Schizosaccharomyces pombe: one gene and its partners. The gene in region 3 interacts genetically with the main gene of each other region. Each region holds a gene or a part of one and is shown on either strand. Other genes may lie near its edges. The genes, in order: rum1, mus7, cdc23 and mcm4.

Region 1 (4,612 bases), 1.3 Mb from region 3:
TAGATGATATTATTAATCGTTTCTTGTTTTGCTTCGTAAAAAGCTAAGGAGTGTTCGGATATGCCACAAAATGATTCACTAACTTTTGTGTTATTTTATATGCTCAGTATGGTAGAGGGGAGAAACACGGGTACCATGTAAATATAAGAGTTACGAATTTTTAACGAACTTCACTGTGATGTAAGTGGCTTCCTTGTTGTCATTTTGCAGTGCAAATGTAAATAAAAGTGACATTATGTAAACAAATCATCTTACCGCTCAGGTAACATAAATAAATACATTATTCATCATGCTTCATGGTGTGAAGAAAAAATGTTAGTCAAGTAGAGTCGGTTAGGCCTAATTATTACTTCAATGAACGAAACGATATTACACTATAATTTTACCCAAAGACTCCTTTCATACGCTTAGAACCAGTTTTGTTATCCATTTGTAGGATTTCAGTACCAGCTAGTAAACTTCACTATATCACCAAACCACAAATTAACTCAATGTAACAGCAATACCGTAATGTGTATAACTGTCTAAGAAGCCTAGAATAGTATTGTATATGCGGTATAAAAATACCTTTTTATTACTGGGATAAAACAATTGAATATAAAACTAGTTATTGAGAATAACAGACTATAGTTTCCAAACCAGCAAAAAATTTAGAAATCGAATAGCATTATTAACTAATCGATAAATACAACATTTCAGAATATATTCACTCTCTGAACAAAGAAAAGAAAATTGTGAAAGCCATGTAATATTAGTATAAGTCTTAAAGTAAAAGCTCAGTGGATGAAATTAGGAAATAAGTTAAACGTATAATATTTCAAAGCATGCCGTAAAAGGTTGCTAAAAAAAGTTGCAATGGCTCAGGGCAGACACGGGAGGACGATAAAAAATTAAGTTGCCAAATGGAATATGAATAGGCACAAATGGAAAGATGGGGAAATGTAATTATAGATACTCAATTAAGAAAATCGTGGTGATATTGTGGTGATATTACCATGAATGACTAACGACCAGCGTTTGTCAAAATGCATTTTCATCAAGAATAGAGAATAGGAGGTTCTGATCTACTACCAAAAGTTCAAACGAACGATTATCATGAATAAGGCAGAAGAGTATTTCGTGATTGGGCATTTATATAAACGGTATCAAACACAATTACAAAATGCGAAAAAAAGTTATCGTAATAAATTGTGCCTGTTTTCATCTTTTGTATTAGATCGTGATTTTTGTGGTGATGAATACGCAGGTAAACGCATTTGCGGTGGGGGAGCAACAAAGGAACCTGACGAGGAAGATGGAACCCTTGATTTTAACGAGAACATTTTATTCCCAATAGAATTCAGGTTTGGAGGGAGAATGCCAATTTGAGAATAGTCATTAAGGTCTACAGAGGATGTTGGGTTATCTGAACTAGAAGAAGGCGCCGAGTCAGCAAACAAGAGTTTGGGCTTAAAAGTAGATAAATCAGTTCCAGGCCTGAAGGATTTCTTGATTCTTTTCCCCCGAAAAACATAGTACAAACCATCAGAAGGAGGAGGAGTAGGCTTTCTCTTCTTTCTTGACAAAAGCTGGTTATCAGATGAACTGAGAAAAGGATTGTGTTCTCTGTCTTCTTCCATACATCTTTCTAAAGAATTACTCCGATCTTGTAGCATTAAATTTGGTAGTAATTGCTTTTTGGGAGTTTTAGCAGGTGTAGGTGGAAATGTGCTAACTTGAGGTGCTGGTAAATCGCTTTCAGGGATTTCATCTATCATAATAGAAGAATTACCTTCTAACGAAGCATCGATGACTCCTTTAAAACTCCCAGGAGACTCTGGGGTAGATGGAGTACACAACCCTCGCATAGGTGGTGTTGAAGGTTCCATAGCGAACTGACAATCCAAAAACCAGGTAAATGCAAGAAGAAATCCTTTATGTATCGAGCGGATTATCAGAAGAGCGTGTATTCAAGCTTTCCGATATGATTTAAAAAATGTATTTTTCAATGGTTTTTGGGTGTAGGAAAATTCAGCACCAGAAATGTTCACAAGTTACCTGTAGCAAACGAAAAGGTAACAATTTAATACCCACCAAGCTAGCGACTGCGCTTTGATAATTATACAATTTAAACAATATTTGTAAAATTGTTTGAAATAATATAGAAACAATTGAAATGGCTTCAATATATCAAAAGGAAGGAACAAAATGGGATTGTAGCTTGTAAGAAAGGTATTGAAATTTTCGGAGTAAACAAAAAAAAGGAATCTTTTAGAAAACGGGAATGGGAAAATGTCTATTTTAAAAAGCAAAATTTCACTTCATACCAAGAAGTAAGTGCAGCTAAAATATCAAAGAATCAACCAATCAAAAAAAGATATGTGCCAACTTTAAAATTGTAAATAGAATAATTAACAAGGAAAAATATTCTTTCTAATGTTAGAATTTAAAAACTAGTTGGTTGTTTGCTTAGACGAATTCAACTTTTTCACATAGAAATTGAATGCTCGATTTCTTATAAAGATGCTACCGTTCCTTGTAAAGAGTATAATTCAAAATTAAATTTTAAAAATAAAAAACTGATAAAAAAGCGGATTCTCTTTGACCAAATTCGTACAATTTAGTAATATATTACTGCAGCACTCAAGTAAACACACACGAATCAAGACTAAACAAGATCAATTGATTGTATATTATATATAATCCAAAACAAAAAAATTCAGTTTGCAACAACCGCTGTCAAGGAACCCAAAGCTTATGTATGTAGTAGTAGAACTGTATGTTTGACGTTCTGGTTAACTGGTTATTTGCTCATTTCGTGGTAACCATTACTATTAGATGGCTGTAACGCAGTACGCTAAATTAATTACTTTGATCAAGTACAATTTTTGCATAAATGTGTAGTTAGATTTTAAATGAGAATCGATTTTCTGTTCTCTTTAGCAAAAATCTAAAAAATTTACTAACAATTTTAAGCATCATAGAAATATTCCAGTTCGAAAATAAAAATATATGACTGCAAAACCGTAAATAAAAGTAAACTACATTTGAAGTTCTAATAAAGAAGAAACTTCGCGAGTATGGTAAATGAAATAAGTCTCTTATTGTTATTTAAAAGCAAGTACTATCAAAACTAATTCAAGGGATATTTCGTTAAGATTGTTCCTTATTAGCAAATTGATGGTATAAGCAATATTTATTACCTTAGCTCAAATGCAGGAAAAATGGATTTATGAAGAATCGACTATCTTTCAAACACCATTTTCAAATCGAAATGGGAACAGCAATATGCAAAGTAAATACACGGTTGCTACATCGCTAAGTATTTCCAAAATATATCACAATTGTTAAAAATTAAATCGTGACAATGTTTATTTATGTGTTTAAGGAATACGCTACTAACATAATTTATCAAAAAATATTATAAACATATTGGTCAATAATTAAAATATTCATAAATGAATGTTCATGTTATGACTTATTTTACGCTTCATTACCTATTGTTTACAATAAATAGTATCAATGCATTTGCCAAATGAAACAATTAAAATGATAGGTTCGTTAAATTAAAAATTAAAAATATGTTTCCTCTTCAAAAACTATTATCAAAATGTAATGCACATAACTAACTCTTTATTCAATTCATTTCTTCTTCTCTGCCTGTGTAAACACTAACCTCTGCCTCATATTTCCTATCGTTCTTATTCTAAGGGACAACTGGAGTCGCTGCAATTTTCTTTTCAAACTGTTTCATTTAATTTATTATATTTTTTGTAAAAAAAAATAAAAACAACCTTCGTCTACTCTTTGTACTGAATTTCTTTAAACAATTCGCACATCTTCAATCGAATACTTTGTTAGGCTTAAATTGCACACAAGAAATTATTTTCTATACTTGAGTTAATTATATATTTTTTAGTGATTTTTTCTTGTCTTCAGTTAATAGGATAGTCTATCTTTTTCTTTGAACATGACATCTGAATTGCAACAAGAACTACAGATTTTAAGGAGCTTTAATTACACTATAGAAAAGCTTACGGATGGTCTTTCTGCTTCTAAAGAAAAAATAAAGTCATTCGAAACCTCCATTAACAACTCGAATCGTCTAATACAATTATGGTCATCGGTTCTAAGCCAAACGGAGCATACTCAGAATCTAATACTAAATAGCGACTGGAAAGGTTTGTCTTTTGATAATGAAGAATTAGAAAGATTGCAACATCAAAAAATGCTTCAAATACAAGCCGAAGAGCAGAGAAAGATCGAATTACAACAAGAACAAGAACGACTTGAACAAGAACGAAGGCAAAAAGAGGAAGCTATAGCTCTTCAAAAACAACAGCAGCAAAGGTTATTAAGGTCTAAAGATCCAAAGGTCCGACCTGCAAGAAGAGCCGCATCTTCATATGTACCTTCTAGGCCTTCCCATGTTCCCAAGGTCTTCATCCATGAATGTGCGTTCTCGGGTTAGCATGGCTACGACTTCTAACCCAAACTCACTTAGGACTCCTTCTTCATCTTTTGCAAGTCATCGCCAATCCGCAATTCCAAAATCGGCCACCTCCTCTGCTCCTACTATACCAACATCCAACTTGCCATCCGTAGCAAGTTCGATTCCTAATAATGGTCTCAA
Region 2 (7,979 bases), on a different chromosome or scaffold from region 3:
GTTAAATCATCAAGGCTTAGTAAACTTATTGAGCACCAAATATGAATAATTAAAAATGCATTAAACGCTTTGTGACAATTGATGGCTTCATTGAATTGTTGATTTAGCATCTCAACATTATTTATTAAATATACCAAGAATAAAATATTATTAGGATTCCTATATCAGCTACGCAGTTTGTTATCTGTTGTAACGATACGTTGGATTACGTCGAAATCTCCTTGTTATCTATTATATTGCACTATACTGGTAATGTAAGTAGCAACTTGTTATTAGTATTCTATATGATTACATTTTTAGCCATCACTAATATTGCCTACAGCTGAACCTCGTTCCTCAGTTCAGTTATAGCTTCTATTCGTAATTATCTAATAGATGTTACCAGCGGGTATTTTTGTATACAGAATAGTTATTCTCAATTACCAATAAAAACACCTTAGCTAATATTCTAACATATGATATTTAGCGATAGACAAGCATAATGTAGCATAACATATAGTAGAATTGCAGGTATTACAAAAGCGATGAATATATTCACAACTTTGAGCCATGGAAATCGACCATACACATTTTTTTGGTGTAGCATATGCTCAAATTGGCTTTAAAAAAAAGTTCATGAAATAAAGAAACTTAGTCATCGACAATGGACCTTGGAAAAATAGAAATCCGAAAATTAACGTGATACTGTTTCATATTTTGTATTATTTATTTAGTGTGCGTGACGCATGTTATTAAATATAGCCTTTGTCAAGTTCGTTAAATTAAGCTTATTTTTTATAGAGTAATTGAATCTATTGACGTAACTTACGCCTGCGATACAGAAATGCAAACAACGAATTTCAACTTTTAAAATCTACCATTGTCTAATATTTAAAAAAGCTAGAAATGAAATTGAGGGATAAATGGAAAATTTATTTAGGGTTAACGACTATCAAAGTTCAATGCCCTTGTTTTTTTTTGTTTCACAATGATGAAAATCGAACCACTACATCTAACTTAGATTCGGTAAAGTCTAAAAAAAAAAGAAGGAAGACGATATCTGATGCTTCAATCGTTTCTAATGGATCTCTAGTCTCTCATCCATCTATTGACAAGGGAAAACTCTCTATTCTCAAGCGATATAAAATGTCGCATCGATTAACTGCAATTGATAAACTAAGACCGCTAACTGTGTTGGTAGCGTGGAAACAATTAAACATTGCTATGAGACCAATATTTCCGCAACATCGTTACACCGAACAGGATAAGAAGAATTGGAAAAAAAAGGTTATTATCGAAGATTTAAATTTTTTAGTGCTGCGGTGTATATGCGCTTGCGAAGCAATAAGCGATTTTGAAGAGCTTTTGGGAAATATGCGAATTGGACTGATAATTGACATTTCATTGCTGGGTATGAATAGCAATGAGTCTTCCTTTCTACACTATCTTGTTGAGGTGTGGTCGATTTTTTATTTAGAAATATTGCCGTATATCGAAGCTACGTTTTTGCCTGTTACTTTTGCAAAATTTGAGATTGCTCAATTATTTGAAGAGCCCATGAAAACGTACTGGTTAAAAAAGAGTGCTAATATAGATTTGAAACTGTTTTCTATTTGGGTGTTTCGTAAATTTGTTGTAATGCCAAAGCTGAAAAAGACAAATCGATTCATTGAAATTCCTCAATTGAATACTCAGCAGCAGATTTTACTCGTCCAGATGATTTCCATTATTTCTCTCATAAAGCCACAAGATGAATCCGAAGATCTTCTAATGAACTGGCTAAACGAACTGACTTTAAAATTTTTATATGTCTGAAATTTAATATGTTTTAATAGAAGATAGACTTTTTATACTTTCAATATTTGTTTTTAAAGCCCATTTAAGCAATTTATCTTTTAATATTTGCGGCTTTTGTTAGGTATTTAATAATGTTACCTATTCCTTGTTACTCAATGGTGTTTCTATTTTGCTAACTGGAGTATGCAACAGGACCTCCATATAGACACTTTTTAAAATCGAAAGAACTCTTCTAAGCCCTCTTATGTAATACCATCTTTCCCATGGGTTTGTAGGATGAATAGTTTCCTTTTACTTGACCATGTGTCTGACTCTCAGGATTCTGGAAGTGAATGGTCAAATACTCATGGGTCTTTAATTTCACAACGTGGAAATGAATACGATGGAATTACGCCGGCTACTAAAGAAAAAAATCAAAATAAGCTAGAAATTCTGAACAATGAAACCACCATCGGTTCTACAAAGTCATCGGTGTCTTCATTGCCCGAATTGAATAGGAATGTTTCTTTTGAAAAAAGTGATCAAAATTTAGCTGAAACAAAGAGGGAAGAAGAAAACAAACGAACTGAGGTTTTTAAAAAAGATGCCGAACACGAAGCGGTTGTTGTTAAAAGAGATTTTCGCCCTAGACGTCCTGAGCAAACCCGGCCTTATACTTACGATTTCTTAAGGCATCAAATAGAGTTTAAAAGAATAGGCTTGGTACCCATCACCGTACCGCATGGTTTTTCTTCTGATCGATCTATTACTTCTAAGTCCTCTCATAAACCTGTAAATGTTATAGTTCGTAATCGTGCTTCTTCACGTAAACCACCCTTGACCTCTACTCATCGCTTTAGAAGGTATGGAGCTGTAATATCTGATAGCGATGATGATGAGTCTAATACTGAGCAAGATCATTCAAAGGAATCTAATCTGAATACAGCTGACAATGACCTCGCATTGTCGTCTACTATTGAAGGAAAGAAAACCTCAACTAGCAAAGAGGCTTTAGAATCTGAGTCTTTACTTTCCGATTCGGATCAGTCTATGACAAATATCTCATCGAATTCTACTGTGAGTGATCTGAATTTGAAAACTTTAAAGAAAAGATTACGAGGAGTTTTACCACCATCATTTCTAACTCTTCAAGAAAAAAAAAAATTGGAAAATAGAGGTGTCAAAAAAAAGACATCATTACACAAGAGTGTTATTGAGGGAGAAAAAATAAAAGGTGTGGCTCGACGGAAGTTGCATCCTAGATCGACAGCTAAACTATCTAGTGAATTAGGAAACGAAATATCGGATTCTGACAATAGCATTTCTACGCCAACACCAACTGATGATTCACGGTTTGACACCAGCGAGTTTTTAGATTCAATTTCTCGTGATAATGGCTGGTTGAAAGAAGATGTGGTTGATCAATTATGGCTTCCTAAAAGAAGTTTATCCGCTCTTAAAAAATCAAGTTCTTTGACGTCGGAAAACCCCTTTCAGCTAAATGTAGCAGCCAATGCTGTTTCTACTATTCCTGTCTATCGCACAACTAAAACCAAAATGAAAAAAAATAGATTTAAATATGTCGAAGTGGAAAAATTACCAGACCTTATCCTTGAATCGTATGGGAAAAAGGCGCCAAAGTTTTTGAGGGTGTTTGCTCGAAGTTCATCTCATATTCCAAAAATGATTAGAAGAAAAAGACAAATGGATTCCAAAAAGTATTTTTCCTTCGACAAAGAATCCGATCGCCAAGTTATTGATCAAGTTCTTTCTGATTGGTATTCAGGTAAACATGAGCTTGTTCAACAATCTCATTCTTACAAAAAGCCTTCAGATTCTAAGTCAGTTGGTGGAAATATTTTTTCTGTTAATTCTAAAAAGCATAGTGTAAATATTAACGCTAAAACAGCAGCAAATAACGGTTTGAGTCATCTTCAAAATTTTAGCGAGGAACTCTTAAAAAAAAGAAAGCTATTTTCTTCTCTTTTTTCTAATAACGTTTCATACAAAAAATCCAAAAAGTTAAAAAGGACTCATACAGTACATGACAAATGCCAAAAAGTTGCCAAATTAGACCATTACATTAGGGACAATATTGAATTAAACTCAAAGGAAAGAGAACATGATTGTTATGAGGGGACTTTAGCTGTACCCCAAGTAAATACTGAGATCCGCAAGTCTTCAAGAAAGCAGAAGGCTCAACGATTTATACGAGACGATTTTGACACCGTCTTTTTTCAATCCTCTTCAAACCCTAATTATTTTACAGATGTAAATCCTTTTTGGAATATAGGTATTTGGTCTACTACATTTAATGTCATAACTTTTAGACCGGGACTTAGTTTGCCCAACAACTCCTTTATAAAAACCCAAGGGTTAAATTCTATTCTTCAATTGGACATCGTCACACATCCTTTTAAGTCTGTTTATGCTTTTTCTTGTTTATTCAATATCCAGGATGATGTTTTTAAAACATTCGAAAAATTAAAAGACACTTTTGAGACAGTCTTAGAAAATCTTCCATACTTTACAAACTCTGAAACTGTTGACTTGTACAATCTACTTTCTTTTTGCTCTGCGTTTATTCTTCATTCTCAAGTATCAATGGGCTTGGTTAACTTGGCTTCCTCCTTTTTAGAAACCTATGCATTAGTCAATGATCGTGTTTCTTCTATATCGGGGTTGAATAGATCACAATTGGTTGAAAAAATAGCTGTGTTGTTTCAAACTTTTCAAGTTGTATTTTATTGTGAATTTGAACTTGGAAATCAGCAAAACATTAATAAAGTTTCCTGGCTGGCAAGTGATTTGATTTCAAAACTTCTTTCTGCTGGTCAATCTGGTCTATTGGAATGTTATCGGAATTTGAGAATTCAAGCTTCAGATACGACTGTAATTGACACTCTTTTTTTGGAATCTTGGTCAATTTTAAATCATATTCTTTTTCATGTATATAAGAAGAAATATGCTTTGTGGGAACAGGTGAATTCATTTTTTGATCTTCAAAAAAAGGAGTTGTCTATATTAGAAATGGAAAAAATTTGGTATGTTATAATGACGCTCAATCCCGTTTTCCAAATTGGGCTTAATGGAACGACTCATTCACCAGGAAACAATAGTTTTTGGCCACTGATAATCAGAGTTTCAGAAAGTGCATTTAAAATGCATAAGGACGGACACAATGTTAAAGTGGTTGAGCGATACCTTCGCACAGTGTTTCTTCGAATTCATTTTCTCATATCTGAATGGCGTTGGGAGGATGTGGCTCAAATCCTATTTTTGATATTCGATTTCTTTAGCCATAGAAAGTTTAATGACCTTTCTTCTGAAATATCTGAAGATACACCAACTGACTTTCCTGATTTTGTTAAGTCACTTGACAGACCTCCAAATCTTCATGTAACTGCTCTTGATACATGTTTTGTAATTTATTTAAAAGTTATTTTAATTTCTATAAGCCGTTTGAGGCAAGTAGATGAAAATACAAATTCAATCAAGAGGATAGTATCCAGATTACAGCCCTTACATTCACGTCAATACACGCGAGAAAGTCCATTCTCAATTAAGGACTTTATGTCTTTGGAACATACTCACACTCTTCTTATTTGTCTTTATTGGGCAGCACCCGAGAATTGTAGGCCCAGTTTAAATCGCATTAGGGATATTGTAATCGTCGATAATTCTCATCTTAAGGCACGTTTAATTAGTCTAAAAGCATGGCTTCACCTAATGAAGTATGTGATAAAAGAGGGAACTGATTATGAACTCGCTCAGGGAATGGAGTGGTTTAATTCCATTTTAAAAGTTACATTTGATGAATATCTTGCTCTCTTTTCAAATGGAACTTCTGTTGGTGAGATGCAATTGGCTGAATACTCGAAACATCAACTTGAAAATGCGCTAATTGTAGCTTTCCATTCCCTTCAAGATTTAATTCCCAATTCTTCAGTTTATATTAGTAGGATAAACGTTTTGGTGACGGAGCAGTCATGCCGGCGCATTCTTAAAGACTCTCATTTTTTTCCTCCTCGCGTTACTCTGGAGTGTATTTTATTTCTAAAAAAGTTTTTGCAGTATCAATCTAATACAGAGCCACCTAAGGTTACCGTTGTTGGTAGCACTTCGCATGATAGTCAAGATGCTTACTTTGATTCTGATGTGCTGGATGATAACACACTCATTTTAGAACAAGAAAAGTTTGAACGTAAATACGAAGTGGCTCAAATATTGAGAACATTTGTTTCACCCTTTTTGTATCAAACGATATCTTATCTCGTTGGAAATGACGAGGACAAAGAAAATTATATTCGTATTTTACTTTTACCATTAATGGAGTGCATGGCAATTTGTGCTAGTTTTGCTGTAGAAGCGAAAATCAATGACTGGAGTTACTATATCGATTTTGGGTCTGAGTCTTGGGAAAGGATTCGTAACACTCCTTTGAAAAGATCTCTCAGTACCACGTTTTATTCCTTCCTTATATCTTATAATGATTCTTTTATTAAAAAACATGAGGAAAAAGTCTTAACTGTATGGTTTGAATCACTGGGCGCTTTAGATGAGGATCATGCTGCACAATTTACGATTTTGTTATTACAGAAAAACCTAAAAAATCCTATTTTGCTTAATTTACCGATATCCGTCAAAATTGAGGAAATTAGTATAAATTACTTTAAGTCGGTTCACTTGAATTTATTAACAGCTGTGTTTTGCAACATGGCAAAACTGTATGCTGATGCCAAGACAAATGGTTTCGCGAGCTCTCAATATTTACAGAGCTTGTTTATTCATTACCTATCCTCTCTACTGTCTTCTATGCAGCATAGTTATGAGACAAATGGTCATTCTTCTGATACTCACTCTTTGTTTGTTATTAATTCACAACGTGTTGTCGGAGACATTTTACAGTATTGTAGTCAATTTGCAAATGATCGTAACCTTCCTGCCCTCAGATATTTTATGGACTCAACTAAGTTCCCCCAACCACCGGAGCGTCTCGAATATACGGCCTTGAGGTTACGAAGTTATGCGAGAAAAACTCTCACAAATTCAGCTTCTCAAAATGCTTTGTTTAGTTTCCTAAAAGCAAATTTTGATGTTGCTCTGCTAGAACAAAAGCAAACTGAAACTTCTAATCTTTTAAGGCTGGCTATGGGATTCCATAATCAAAATAGCTCCAGCAAATGGGATGTCGAGATTTCTTCTCTTCGGAAATTTTGTGTAAAGGAACTTTTATTGAGTTACCTTGGTGAAGGCTCGTTAGCAGCTATGTTTTATTCATTGTTACTACTGGAGGGTCTAAGCCGAACTTACAACAGCTTTAGACGTATATATTTGCAACCTTACATTCAACAGTTACTGTGTGAAGAAATTTCTGTTTTTGTGGCTGATTTAGAGAAATATGCTTTATTATATGAAAACAAACGCCCTTTACTTTCTGGGAGAATATATTACCTTATTTCTTCATTTGTGGCTATAAGCATGACAAACAAAACCAGTGGATTGCCATCTAGTTTAATATGTAACTTACAGAATTTTTTAGCTCGCATAGCTCGAGACTTCCTTCTTGAATTATGTTGGAATATTGAAGGGTCTGAGTTTCCCCCTCCTTACAATACTGTTGATTGTCGTAGCAAATTTGTTAAAACTATTCAGCAACATTGCTCAGCGGATTGGTACGACAACGTTACCAATATTGTACATAAGTCTAGGAAGAAAAAACTAGTTTTGCCTTCTCAGGTGGAACAGGAAGAAGAATACTGGTCAGGTTTAATGGAAGTTACTATTCAAATATGGAAACACGATAAAGGTTTTTTAGAGCCTGAATTAGATAGGTTTCTCAATGTAATTTGCAGTTATGCACCTGACATGAGTGGGTTACCGACAAAAATCAAATGCTTTTTGGATAAAATCGGCTATTCTTGGATGACTGAAGAGAATGATTTTGATATTGTATTGTTTTAAAAGCCAAAATTAAAAGATTTTTCAGTTGTGGTTGCTTTTGGTTTCCACGTTGTTTATTTTATTTATTTTATTTATTTTTAATATTTCATTTGATGTCTGTGTAATACACAAACTCATTTATTAATTATCTCTTGTTGTATACAAAATAATTAGACAATGAAATAATCCAGTTCTGCATATTTCTTTTGCTTAGAGCTCTTTTTTTTTGCTACTAGTACATCCATTAATGTACGTAATTTTATTATCACATGACTGTGGTC
Region 3 (5,038 bases):
TTTCCAGTAGTATATAAAAAGTCCAAGCTTATTTACAAAATTCGGGTATTAGGGTAATACAAAAATGAGCGTTATACAAAAGCAAAAGGACGGTCACAGGAATCCTAATCTGTCGAATACAATAATTTAGTTAAAATAAGAAGCTACTGAAGTTTCTATATTAACAGGCTCTTTTCTGTCTAACATCCAATAATAGTTCTAAACAAATTCTCGCTTAATAAGTTTTAGTTATATTAATCATAAAAAGGGAAATTGTGCTAATCTTTCATAATCGTGGTACCTTGTGACATAAATTTTCAGTCATAACCATTTAAAGATAGTCCTTGATTATCTTTTTTTTTAATATTCCTATTAGCAAGACTTCACCGTTCATTAACAATATAAAAGGAACTAAAATATCATGTCGGATATAGTTTATGCCAACGTGTCTCATTACAACAAAATAGAAGCATCGAAATATGACAATCCAAGTACCTTGGCGATTTCCAAAGTGATTTCTTCAAAAATTTTACAGTTTGAAGACAATTCCGAAACCAGCCTAAGACATGATCTCCCAAAATATGATCAAGATAGGCTGCTTTTAACTTCGGATGATGATTTGACAAATGTAAATAATTTTTGGAAGAAAAGTGGTATGAGTATATTGGATTTTGCTTGTGGAACTGGTTTAATTAGCCAACACCTGTTCCCTTACTGTAAACAAATTGTTGGCATAGACGTTTCCCAAGACATGGTGGACGTTTATAATGAAAAATTTAGAAAGATGAACATTCCCAAAGAAAGAGCCTGTGCATATGTTTTAAGTTTGGATGATTTGGATGGCAACGGCGATGAACCATTTTCTACTGAATTTGATGCTGTTGTATGCTCCATGGCATATCATCATATCAAGGACCTACAGGAAGTGACTAATAAGCTTTCTAAACTTTTAAAACCTAATGGTCGATTATTTGTCGCAGATTTAATAAAGGGGGGTGATACTTTTCATGGTAATTTGCATCCTGATGAAATAGCTAAGCTTGGCGTAGCTCATCATGGTGGATTTACTCCGCAATCAATTTTGAATTTATTCAAAAATGCATCTTTGTCAAACGCTGAAGTCATTGGTAAAGCTCAGGCAAATGTGTGGGTCGATGAAGCTAAGTATCAACGGTCAACCCAGTCAAAAGACGCTAAAACCTTAGATTTAGCTAACGGAGAGAAGCTGTATGAGGTAAAATTACAGCTGATGGTTATTAGTGGTATCAAAACATGATCCCCTTAATTTTTAATTAGGGATAAACAAATGAATGGTCTGGGTACCCGATTTTAGAAGGTGAAGCAATCAGACCAGGAATTGCTTCATTTAAACAAGTATTGATGTCCATTAAATTGATAGCTTATGATAACTTATAACACTGTGAGTCCCGGTGATTCATTTAAACGAAACTACATACTGAGCATTCAGAAAGGACTAAACTTCATTGAAACGACAATTTCGAATATGATCAACCAAATATTATGTGGGATTACAGGCTTTTTTTATACAATACTGGAAATTTCGTTATATGATTTTTCTTCATAAGTTGGTTTCAAAAGAACTGGCCAACTGTTGTCACAAAGATTTTAATATTAAGCGCAAATTTGAATAGACAACGGAAACTAGGCAATCTCTTCCACCAAATGTAAAAAAAAGTTCGACGTTTAAAATTTAACTGTTCAAAATACCCCTTTTAAATAAGTTACTATATGCATTTGAATACTGTAGACACATCTTTTATGATTCTATATAGACAAATATCGTAAGTTTATATTATGTAAATGAATTCGTGATATCGAACGTGTATACTCATTAAATTAGCGCATCTATTTTAACCTTTTATTATTCAAACTGCAGTTATGTTGTTTACCTATAGCATGTGTAGTATAGAGAGGATTTAATTTTGCACATTATGCTTGTTTATGCACTACATTTTGCATCCTTAAACACATGTCCTTTAGATGTCCGCTAACTGTTTACATTCCTATATGTTTAACCGCGATTTTTAAGTATTGGAAAATAAGAATATCTTGTTAAAAAGATTTATAATTATTACTTGCTTCCTTTTCCAGGACTAAAGAATTTCCTGTTTTTGGCACTAAACTTTTCAACAATATCTTCGCATTTCAAAATACAAATGTGGCAGTATTAAATTTATCCTGTTATTTGTTTTGGCTACTCATACAATAGAGAAGAAAATTTTATTGATCAGAGTTTTTTTAATTTCCTGAAAAGCTAGTTTTCTAGGGTTGGGTTGAAAAGTTTCAGTATTCGTGAGAAATTGACTATATCTAACAGGCGGGGGGTTTTTTTTATCATTGACTTTGGAGGTTTAAGATTAAGAGGAAACCAAGTTTAATTAATGCAAGTATGCATGATCCCTTCATTGCAGAAGAAAATGACTTGGACCTGGAAGAAAAGAGGTTACAGAGGCAGCTAAATGAAATTCAAGAAAAGAAGCGTCTACGAAGTGCTCAAAAGGAGGCTTCTTCGGAGAACGCTGAAGTTATTCAGGTTCCAAGATCTCCTCCTCAGCAAGTTCGTGTCCTTACAGTCAGCTCGCCTAGTAAACTAAAAAGTCCCAAGCGATTGATATTAGGAATCGATAAAGGAAAGACGGGGAAAGATGTTTCATTAGGAAAAGGGCCTCGAGGGCCTCTACCAAAACCATTTCACGAACGACTTGCAGAGGCAAGGAACCAAGAAAGGAAGAGGAGCGATAAATTGAAAACGATGAAAAAAAATAGAAAGCAATCGTTCCAGAGGAAGCGAAACATACTTGAAGATGGAAAAAGTGAAGAGGAGAAATTTCCTATGAAATGTGATGAAATCGATCCTTATTCAAGACAAGCCATTGTTATTCGATACATAAGTGATGAGGTTGCTAAGGAAAATATAGGGGGAAATCAAGTTTATCTCATTCACCAACTACTCAAACTAGTAAGAGCTCCTAAATTTGAAGCGCCAGAAGTTGACAACTATGTAGTTATGGGCATTGTTGCCAGTAATAGTGGAACCAGAGAAACTGTGAATGGGAATAAATATTGTATGCTAACACTGACTGACTTGAAATGGCAACTGGAGTGCTTCCTGTTTGGAAAGGCGTTTGAACGATACTGGAAGATCCAGAGTGGTACTGTCATTGCGCTTCTCAATCCTGAAGTACTAAAGCCAAAGAACCCAGACATTGGACGCTTTTCTCTGAAGCTGGATTCTGAGTACGATGTACTTTTAGAGATTGGTCGCTCCAAACACCTTGGCTATTGTTCCAGCCGAAGAAAAAGCGGTGAACTATGTAAACATTGGCTCGACAAGCGTGCCGGAGATGTATGTGAATATCACGTTGACCTCGCTGTCCAGCGGTCCATGTCTACGCGAACGGAGTTTGCTTCAAGTATGGCGACTATGCACGAGCCTCGCGCACGACGTGAAAAGCGATTTCGTGGACAAGGGTTCCAAGGATACTTTGCTGGGGAAAAGTATTCCGCAATTCCTAACGCAGTAGCTGGTTTGTATGATGCAGAAGACGCCGTTCAGACCGAGAGGGAGCGCAAGGAACGATACAAAAAACAACGAGCGCAGGCTGAACGCGAGCGTGAAATTTTGGTGCGATTATCGAAGCGATGTTGCGCTTCCTCTTCGTCTAGCTCTAACTCGAATAACCTCTCTACGGGAATGTCGATGCGAACACTCGGCCATCAGTATCTAAATTTACAAGGTTCCGGCGTTAAAAATTTACATGACAAGGGTAATCCCACTGCTCTTTCTAAAGATAGCGAAATTGATTCATCGACGAAAAAACCATCCGTTCTGGCCTCTTTTAATGCATCTATAATGAACCCTAAATCCTCTCTACCATCTTTTTCTAACTCTGCTATTCTCGGCACTAACGATGCGGCATCAGGGACACCCGTTCCACAAGATACTACATCCACCAAAGTTTCCCCAGCGGTAGTGTTTACCTCTTCGCCGAGGATTTTTTCCCCCCAAAGTCTACGAAAAATAGGTTTCGATCCAACGCATTCCGCAGATGCATCTACAACGCACTCCACAGCGACTGGACTTTCACGATCCGGCTCCCTAAAAAATATCAAATTCCGATATGAATTTACTGAGAGTGATGATGAGGATGACTTAGAAATAGTTCCCTGAATTTTACGTTGTTTTTCTATACATTATGATGAAAATTAATTATTTAAATTACTAACCAACTTACTAATTAATTAGCTAGCTAATGGATATAGCTATGATTTCAAATGAATGTTCTTTTGTTTACATGCGACACACTTTGCTATCATGAAACTTTCAACCCTTTGTTAAACCTTTCTTCTAAATCCTAATCCTTAGTAAATCCCAATGGAATATTTGAAACGCTTATTAAACACAGTCGCTCTTTTCATTTGTGATGTCAACTGTTTGAATTCAATGTGCGAAGTCTCCCTTTTTTGTTCTGCTAGCTTCTCTCTCATACAAGAACGGCCGTTACAGCTTTTGACATCACATTGTTTATTAATCAAACGAACGTAAGCTTACTTTCATATGGTATGATGGGCTTGTAAGCAATACTAAGATAGCCAGCCAAACTGAGGTACTGTCGACACCTTTAGCTTACGATTGCTTTCGTCTAGGTATCGGACTTTACACTGCTAGTCGCCTATTTTAACGTTGCGCCGTATGGAACGGGTATCGCATTCTTATCAGTAAGGAAAGCTATCTGAATTCGTCACAAAGGAAAAGGCAAATAAATAGTCTAAAACTATATAAATGCGGGCTTCCATCTAAGAGACCTCGCCATCCAACAATTGTTGCGTCCCACCTAAACAGTGTCTAATCAAAGTCAATTGCGAGACATTCTAAAGTAAAAAGTTAATACATTTTAGCTACTACTAAATACTTCTTTTGATATTCTTTTTAGTGAACAATAAAGAATATTGGTTTGATCAACACGGTCATCTTCAGAAAAAAAATTTTTTATTCGTTGGTTTAATTAGTTAAGAAAATTTTTTTTTTCTTTCTTCG
Region 4 (5,564 bases), on a different chromosome or scaffold from region 3:
ACTAAATGCGATTTTAGTAACACCAGTTTGTCCTCATACGCTTTCTTTCCGTCCTATTATTTTACCAGATTACAATGTTTTGAACGTTGAGATCCCTTTGGATTCTCGAAGTAGTGCATTCTTTTCCGTTGACCGTCATGAATCTGTGGAGATGCATAGAGGCGACTATTTATCAATTGTTACGTCTCATTACCCTTTCACAACCATTCAAAATCCAGGATACCAATGGACCAAGGTATTAGAAGATAAATTCAATTGGAATGTGCGTGAGCGTCAAAAGCCCTTTTCTAGAAAACCAAGCTTGAGTGATGTTAAGGATACAAGTGACGATAAATTTGATATTACAGATAATTCCTATTGCAGAGAATTTTCTGCAGACATTGATGGTTAAATTGCTATCCATTTTTCTTTTAATGACATCTGACTACTGTTGAAAATACTTAAAATTAGGCACACACTGCCTCTACGAATCATGGCGAATTATTGGTTACGATTGTTTAGATATCTGTTAGTTTTTTGAAAGTTTATGTTAATTATTATTATTATTATTATTTCAACTTTGGTATTAACGAATTTATATTCATAATGTTTACTCATTGTTCAGTTCATACTCAAAAGCCGAAAAAAAAAAGAAAAATGAATGTTAAGGATCCCTCGATAAATATGTAAAATATTTTTATAACAAAAAGAACGTGTGTATATATAACAAGAAAGACATTCGTATTATGCTCTGTAGTCTTTGATTTTCAACAACGACCTATGGTTTATGGCTCATGAATAATACCAGCTTATTCGCTAAAAAATTAATCAGTCTGTGCAATTGAACGTACAATGCGATGTCCAGCACTGGTAATAACCTTAATACGTCCTCGCCTTTCCAAAGCACCCAGACAAGCTTCGAAATCAGAAGCATCTAAGCGAGTAGAACTCTGCTCACGAAACCGAGTTAACAATTGACTGACCAACATAGTTTTTCCACCCACAGTTAAATTTGAAATTAAATTCGCCAGTTCTTTGACCATATCTTCAGGTACCAAAGTCTCTCTTTCATTAACATAAATTAGGTCAAGAGAAATCTTTCCTGTTGCAGGATCAGTTGCATAATCCTTAATAGCGGTCTTAATCAAGCGAGCAGCTTCAAGAACATCTCCTACCTCAACAACGTTGCGAAGATGCATTTTCGCATGGGCCTCAGATAGACGAATCATTGATTCCAGTTGTCTTGTTGTAGCAGTAATTCTTTTCTCAGATGCTCGCACATCCTCCCCAAGCTTTCGCATACCAACATAAGCATTCACTAGTTCCTTTGCTGCCTCTTCACTAATGACAGGATTAATATTATTTCTAGCATATGTGATATAGCTTGTCAAAAATTCCACACTAAAGACCTCCATATCTGTAGCATGTTCAGGAGTATCTTCCATGTACATAGAAACAATATGATTTGCGAGCTTCCTATCCAGCGTTTCATCCACGCGGTCTAATATTAAATACACCAAATCAAATCTAGATAAGAGAGTAGGCGGAAGATCAATATTTTTGGTGACAGGCAAGTCTGGATTGTATTTGCTTCCAATTGGATTTGCACTAGCTAAAATAGAAGTCCTAGCGTTCAAAGTAGTAATAATGCCAGCCTTGGCAACTGTAACGGTTTGCTGCTCCATAACTTCATGAAGAATAGAACGTGTAGCATCGGACATTTTGTCAAACTCATCAATGCAGCAAATGCCCCCATCTGACAGTACCAAAGCACCACTTTCCAAGACTAGTTGCTTCGTGTCTTGGTCACGAGTAATATAGGCAGTTAAACCAACAGCAGATGAACCCTTGCCACTAGTGTAAACACCTCTGGGTGCTATCTTATGGACATACTTCAAAATTTGAGACTTAGACGTAGATGGATCACCACACATCAAGATATTTATGTCTCCACGATATCTCGGACTTGCGCCTTTATGAAAAGACTTGTTCGTTCCACCAAATAGCTGTAGCAAAAGCCCCTTTTTAACATCATCCATTTCGTAAATGCTAGGTGCCAGAGACCGGGAAAGAATATCGTATATATCGTCCCGCTTTGAAACTTGTTGAATTTTTTCCACTTCTTCGTCTGATATTTTCCGTACTTCATCAATTTGTAAAGCAGCATCTTCAGCAATATCGCTTTCCAACGTAGAAGGATCCGTACCCAAACGACGTTTGTCCTGCTTTTTTATGTGAACAACGTCGACATAAGTTTTAAATAATGATTTTACAGTACGCATGCGAGGGTTCAAACGAACTGGTACACAGCGAAAAATCCCAGTGACTTCTATACGATCTCCTGCTCTAGCAGAGTCAACCAGTTCATCATATACGCACAGACTTACAGAGTGTGGGGTTTGGCCATCCGGTACCACGTCAGGTGTCTCTTGGAGTTTAATAACTTGCTTATCGGCGAATTCAGAACGATTATGAATTAGCTGCATTGCATTTGTAGCACCACAGACTTCTCTAGGGCATTTTATGGGCTCAGCAATTCGCCCTCTATCGATTTCCACGGTAACACAATGACCACAAACTGAACATCGAAAAAATGCTTGCTTCATGTCGGGTATTACAGGTGTACACCTAAGTACCAGACCTTTAATAGAGATCAATTTGTCAATGTCACCAGGATTAAGATCACGCATATTAATGCATTTTTCAAGATTAAAAGGACGAATTTTGTAAATTTTAAGCTCAATGTCATTAAGAACATCTTCGGGAGGATTAGTTCCTAACAAGTCTAGCATAACGTCTTTAATGGTTTGATCCATGATAGGAATGATTTCTTGAGGGTATGAGTAAAGCTGGTGATATAGCTTCTTGGTTGGGGGATAATGCTTTAAATCCTGAACATCAAGATTTAATATTTCCAAACCCATAATACGCATGTTTCGTAGCGCTTCAATATACACTAGTTGTTCGGCATCAGGAGGTGGCATAAGTTCATTTCTGTATTCAGGTCGATACTTTTTCTTAAACCCACGTAGAAATCCACGAAAGGAAGCGATACTTTCTTGAATAGATACATTTGTTCCCCAAATGACACGGACAGTGTCATCAGCTACTTCACTGCTTGGGTGCGCCTGACTAAACGTGAGTGCATCTGACCCAGAAAACAACAAGCTACTAGGAGTGCTTACCCCGGGACGTTGAGGGTCAACTTCTCTTCGACGAGATGGGGTAGACATTTGCACGCTAGAATGGATGTCTCCACGTCTTGTCGAGCGCGGTGTTCTCTGCGAACTACTGTCAAGGAACAAGTCATTACGCTGAGATAAAAGATGAGAACGTGAACTCTGAGGAATGTTTGGACCTGGTGAACTAGATTCAAACAGTAAAGGAGAGGAAGCGAGAGGTGTACGCGCTGTAGTCCTCGGTGTTGTAAGGCGTGTAGAACCAGGAGACGAAGCAGGAAAAAATAACGGAGAAGAATCCACTGCTTCTCTTGAAGAGCTGTTAGCTCTTCCAGGAGTCCTCAACTCATTGGCTCTGCCACTTTGCTGACTAGAGGACATGACTCGTGGTGGGTGTAGAAAGACAGTGTAAGGGAGTAGAGTAACTACTCATAAACATACAACAATGAAGAGATAAATAGCATAGCAAAGATTTAAATAATTGGAAATTTGTATAATTTTTTAACAATTTGTCATATTCTCCATTGATCATCAAGCTACCAGTAATTGACTATGAAAATGTAAACTAAAAAACTTTGCGACACTAGATATTAGGATCAATTAAAGCAAATTTGTTATCATAAATAAGGTATTATGAATTTGTTATTGACTTACTTCCTTTTAAGTGATATTCTATTTTTTTGGACGAATGAAGAGAAATATGAAAAGAATGTTGAAATAAAGGATTACATTGCTTTAATTAAACGTTATGCTAGTTTAACATTTTGAGATGATCGTTTTTGCAATTTGGAACTACCAGTTGTATTTGAAGGTCGAATCTATTAACTGTGATTTGACGCTAATTGAAGAGGGCAGATGGTGATTTAGTAATTTTACTAATAATATTTCTTAAAATAAGGTTTATTTTGAATTTTCTCTCATATTGAATACCTGAGTTGTTATTATATTAACCATTTGTAGAGTTCATTTGACCATTCGACTACTGGACTGTCTCTAATAAAAAAAACTTAAGTCTGTATATTATGAGTTATATGGTGTGAATTTCAAATAGTGTATGAATGTATTTTTCTATTATTTCTAGTGAAATACCATTGTGTAGGACGCATACTTTTTCTCGATTATGTTTTGCTCTTCAAAACCTGAAAGGATTATAGACATTTATTGTATCTTGATTTTCTTCTATGTATAATTGGTGAAAACTGGTTTATTCTGTTTTACTATTGATGCCATTAACGATGATACAAAAATTGGCTTATGTCTTTTCAAGGCCCTTTAAGAGATGAATTCCACTGCATAGTGGAACGTTCCTTTTCCTTTTAAAGTGTAGTATTAATTTGCTATTAAAACATCTTTTTAGGCGAAACCATCAAATGCGGCTTGATAAATCAGCTTCAAATATTAGAGCAGTTAACCACCTAAAAAGATTGTCTATTACATGATAAAAGATGATTATAGTGGCGACAATTAGAAAATTAAATGATTTTGAGAAATCATGTCTATAGACATGATACGTTTGTGTGGATTACTTTGCTCACTTGCACTGTGTACACTGCATACTCAACTATACCACAACAATTCACAAGGTCAATAATCGTGAGCTTTTGAGTTGACAAAAAATAAATTACAAATGGAATCAGTTTTTGGAAGAGTAAGAAACGAGACTAGCGAGAGAGGAAAGTATGGATTAGTCTCCGTAAAAGCTGGAAAACTTCAAAGAAAGCCAGGAACGAATATTCTGCAAGCTGATCACCGAAAAGGGTATGTACTATAATAATAATATAGATAGTAGTCCTTTCTACTGGGAAAACGAAATTCTACCCAAAGAATTGTTTATGAAGCTTCTTTGCATGTTTACGTTGGAAGGATGCGTGAAAATCCACACTGTTGGGTTTTGTGGAATTGTTTTCTGTTTATAAAGTTAAAAGATCTGATTTTTAATACTGACATTTGTTTAGAGTTATCTATATGCAAATGGCTTCTGATGAATTATTGCATTTCTATTGGAAAGAAAGGGCCAGGGTTTCTAGAGAAGTAGAAGATGTATGAAGACAATTTAAATCAATTGCAAAGTATACCTATTTATATATATAAATTTACTTTTGCGTTTTTTTTTTTTTAATTTGGTTTATGTTTACTAACATATAATGAAGGACTACATCATATTTCCAGAAGAAGCAGAGTTTATCAAAATTGATGAATGTACCACGGGACGCGTATATGCACTAAAATTTAAATCCTCTTCGCAGATTCATTTTTACTGGATGCAGGAGTATAGTGATGAAAAAGACAAGGAAACAGCTTCCTTAATCAATCAATTAATTGCTGACCCTGTGAATACGACTCGGACTATCAACTCACATAATAATTCTAGCAGTAGAGGTACGGATGATTCATCAACCAGCCAAC

What was found.
Region 1: of cdc23 (region 3) and rum1, changing one suppresses a phenotype caused by changing the other (phenotypic suppression), as found in Schizosaccharomyces pombe (one study listed by BioGRID).
Region 2: mutations in cdc23 (region 3) and mus7 impair growth when combined (synthetic growth defect), as found in Schizosaccharomyces pombe (one study listed by BioGRID).
Region 4: mutations in cdc23 (region 3) and mcm4 are lethal when combined (synthetic lethality), as found in Schizosaccharomyces pombe (2 studies listed by BioGRID, with this or other methods).

What each region holds. Positions count from the first base shown.
Region 1 is NC_003423.3:2,797,845-2,802,456, reverse strand, and holds rum1 (CDK inhibitor Rum1), read right to left. Parts: upstream 2,781-4,612; 5' UTR 1,869-2,780; coding exon 1,176-1,868; 3' UTR 540-1,175; downstream 1-539. UniProt on the Schizosaccharomyces pombe protein: Regulator of cell cycle G1 phase progression. Ensures the correct sequence of S phase and mitosis in the cell by acting as an inhibitor of the cdc2 mitotic kinase. Probably interacts with cdc2 to inhibit its action until the cell mass for Start is reached.
Region 2 is NC_003424.3:2,408,044-2,416,022, reverse strand, and holds mus7 (DNA repair protein Mus7/Mms22), read left to right. Parts: upstream 1-1,975; 5' UTR 1,976-2,052; coding exon 2,053-7,719; 3' UTR 7,720-7,887; downstream 7,888-7,979. Other genes in the region: HbrB family protein involved in TOR signaling Bit2, read left to right, coding at 886-1,794. UniProt on the Schizosaccharomyces pombe protein: Involved in protection against replication-dependent DNA damage. May act by restoring active replication forks, repairing unusual DNA structures, and/or preventing aberrant DNA rearrangement at arrested replication forks.
Region 3 is NC_003423.3:4,077,050-4,082,087, forward strand, and holds cdc23 (MCM-associated protein Mcm10), read left to right. Parts: upstream 1-2,007; 5' UTR 2,008-2,389; coding exon 2,390-4,171; 3' UTR 4,172-4,515; downstream 4,516-5,038. Other genes in the region: SPOM_SPBC1347.09 (hexaprenyldihydroxybenzoate methyltransferase), read left to right, coding at 401-1,255. UniProt on the Schizosaccharomyces pombe protein: Required for DNA synthesis. Required for entry into or completion of S phase. Involved in DNA replication and seems to participate in the activation of the pre-replication complex (pre-RC) and in transcription elongation.
Region 4 is NC_003421.2:898,377-903,940, reverse strand, and holds mcm4 (MCM complex subunit Mcm4/Cdc21), read right to left. Parts: upstream 3,554-5,564; 5' UTR 3,540-3,553; coding exon 804-3,539; 3' UTR 516-803; downstream 1-515. Other genes in the region: SPOM_SPCC24B10.02C (NAD/NADH kinase), read left to right, coding at 1-391; 19S proteasome regulatory subunit rpn1302, read left to right, coding at 4,786-4,916, 5,114-5,198, 5,309-5,564. UniProt on the Schizosaccharomyces pombe protein: Acts as a component of the mcm2-7 complex (mcm complex) which is the putative replicative helicase essential for 'once per cell cycle' DNA replication initiation and elongation in eukaryotic cells.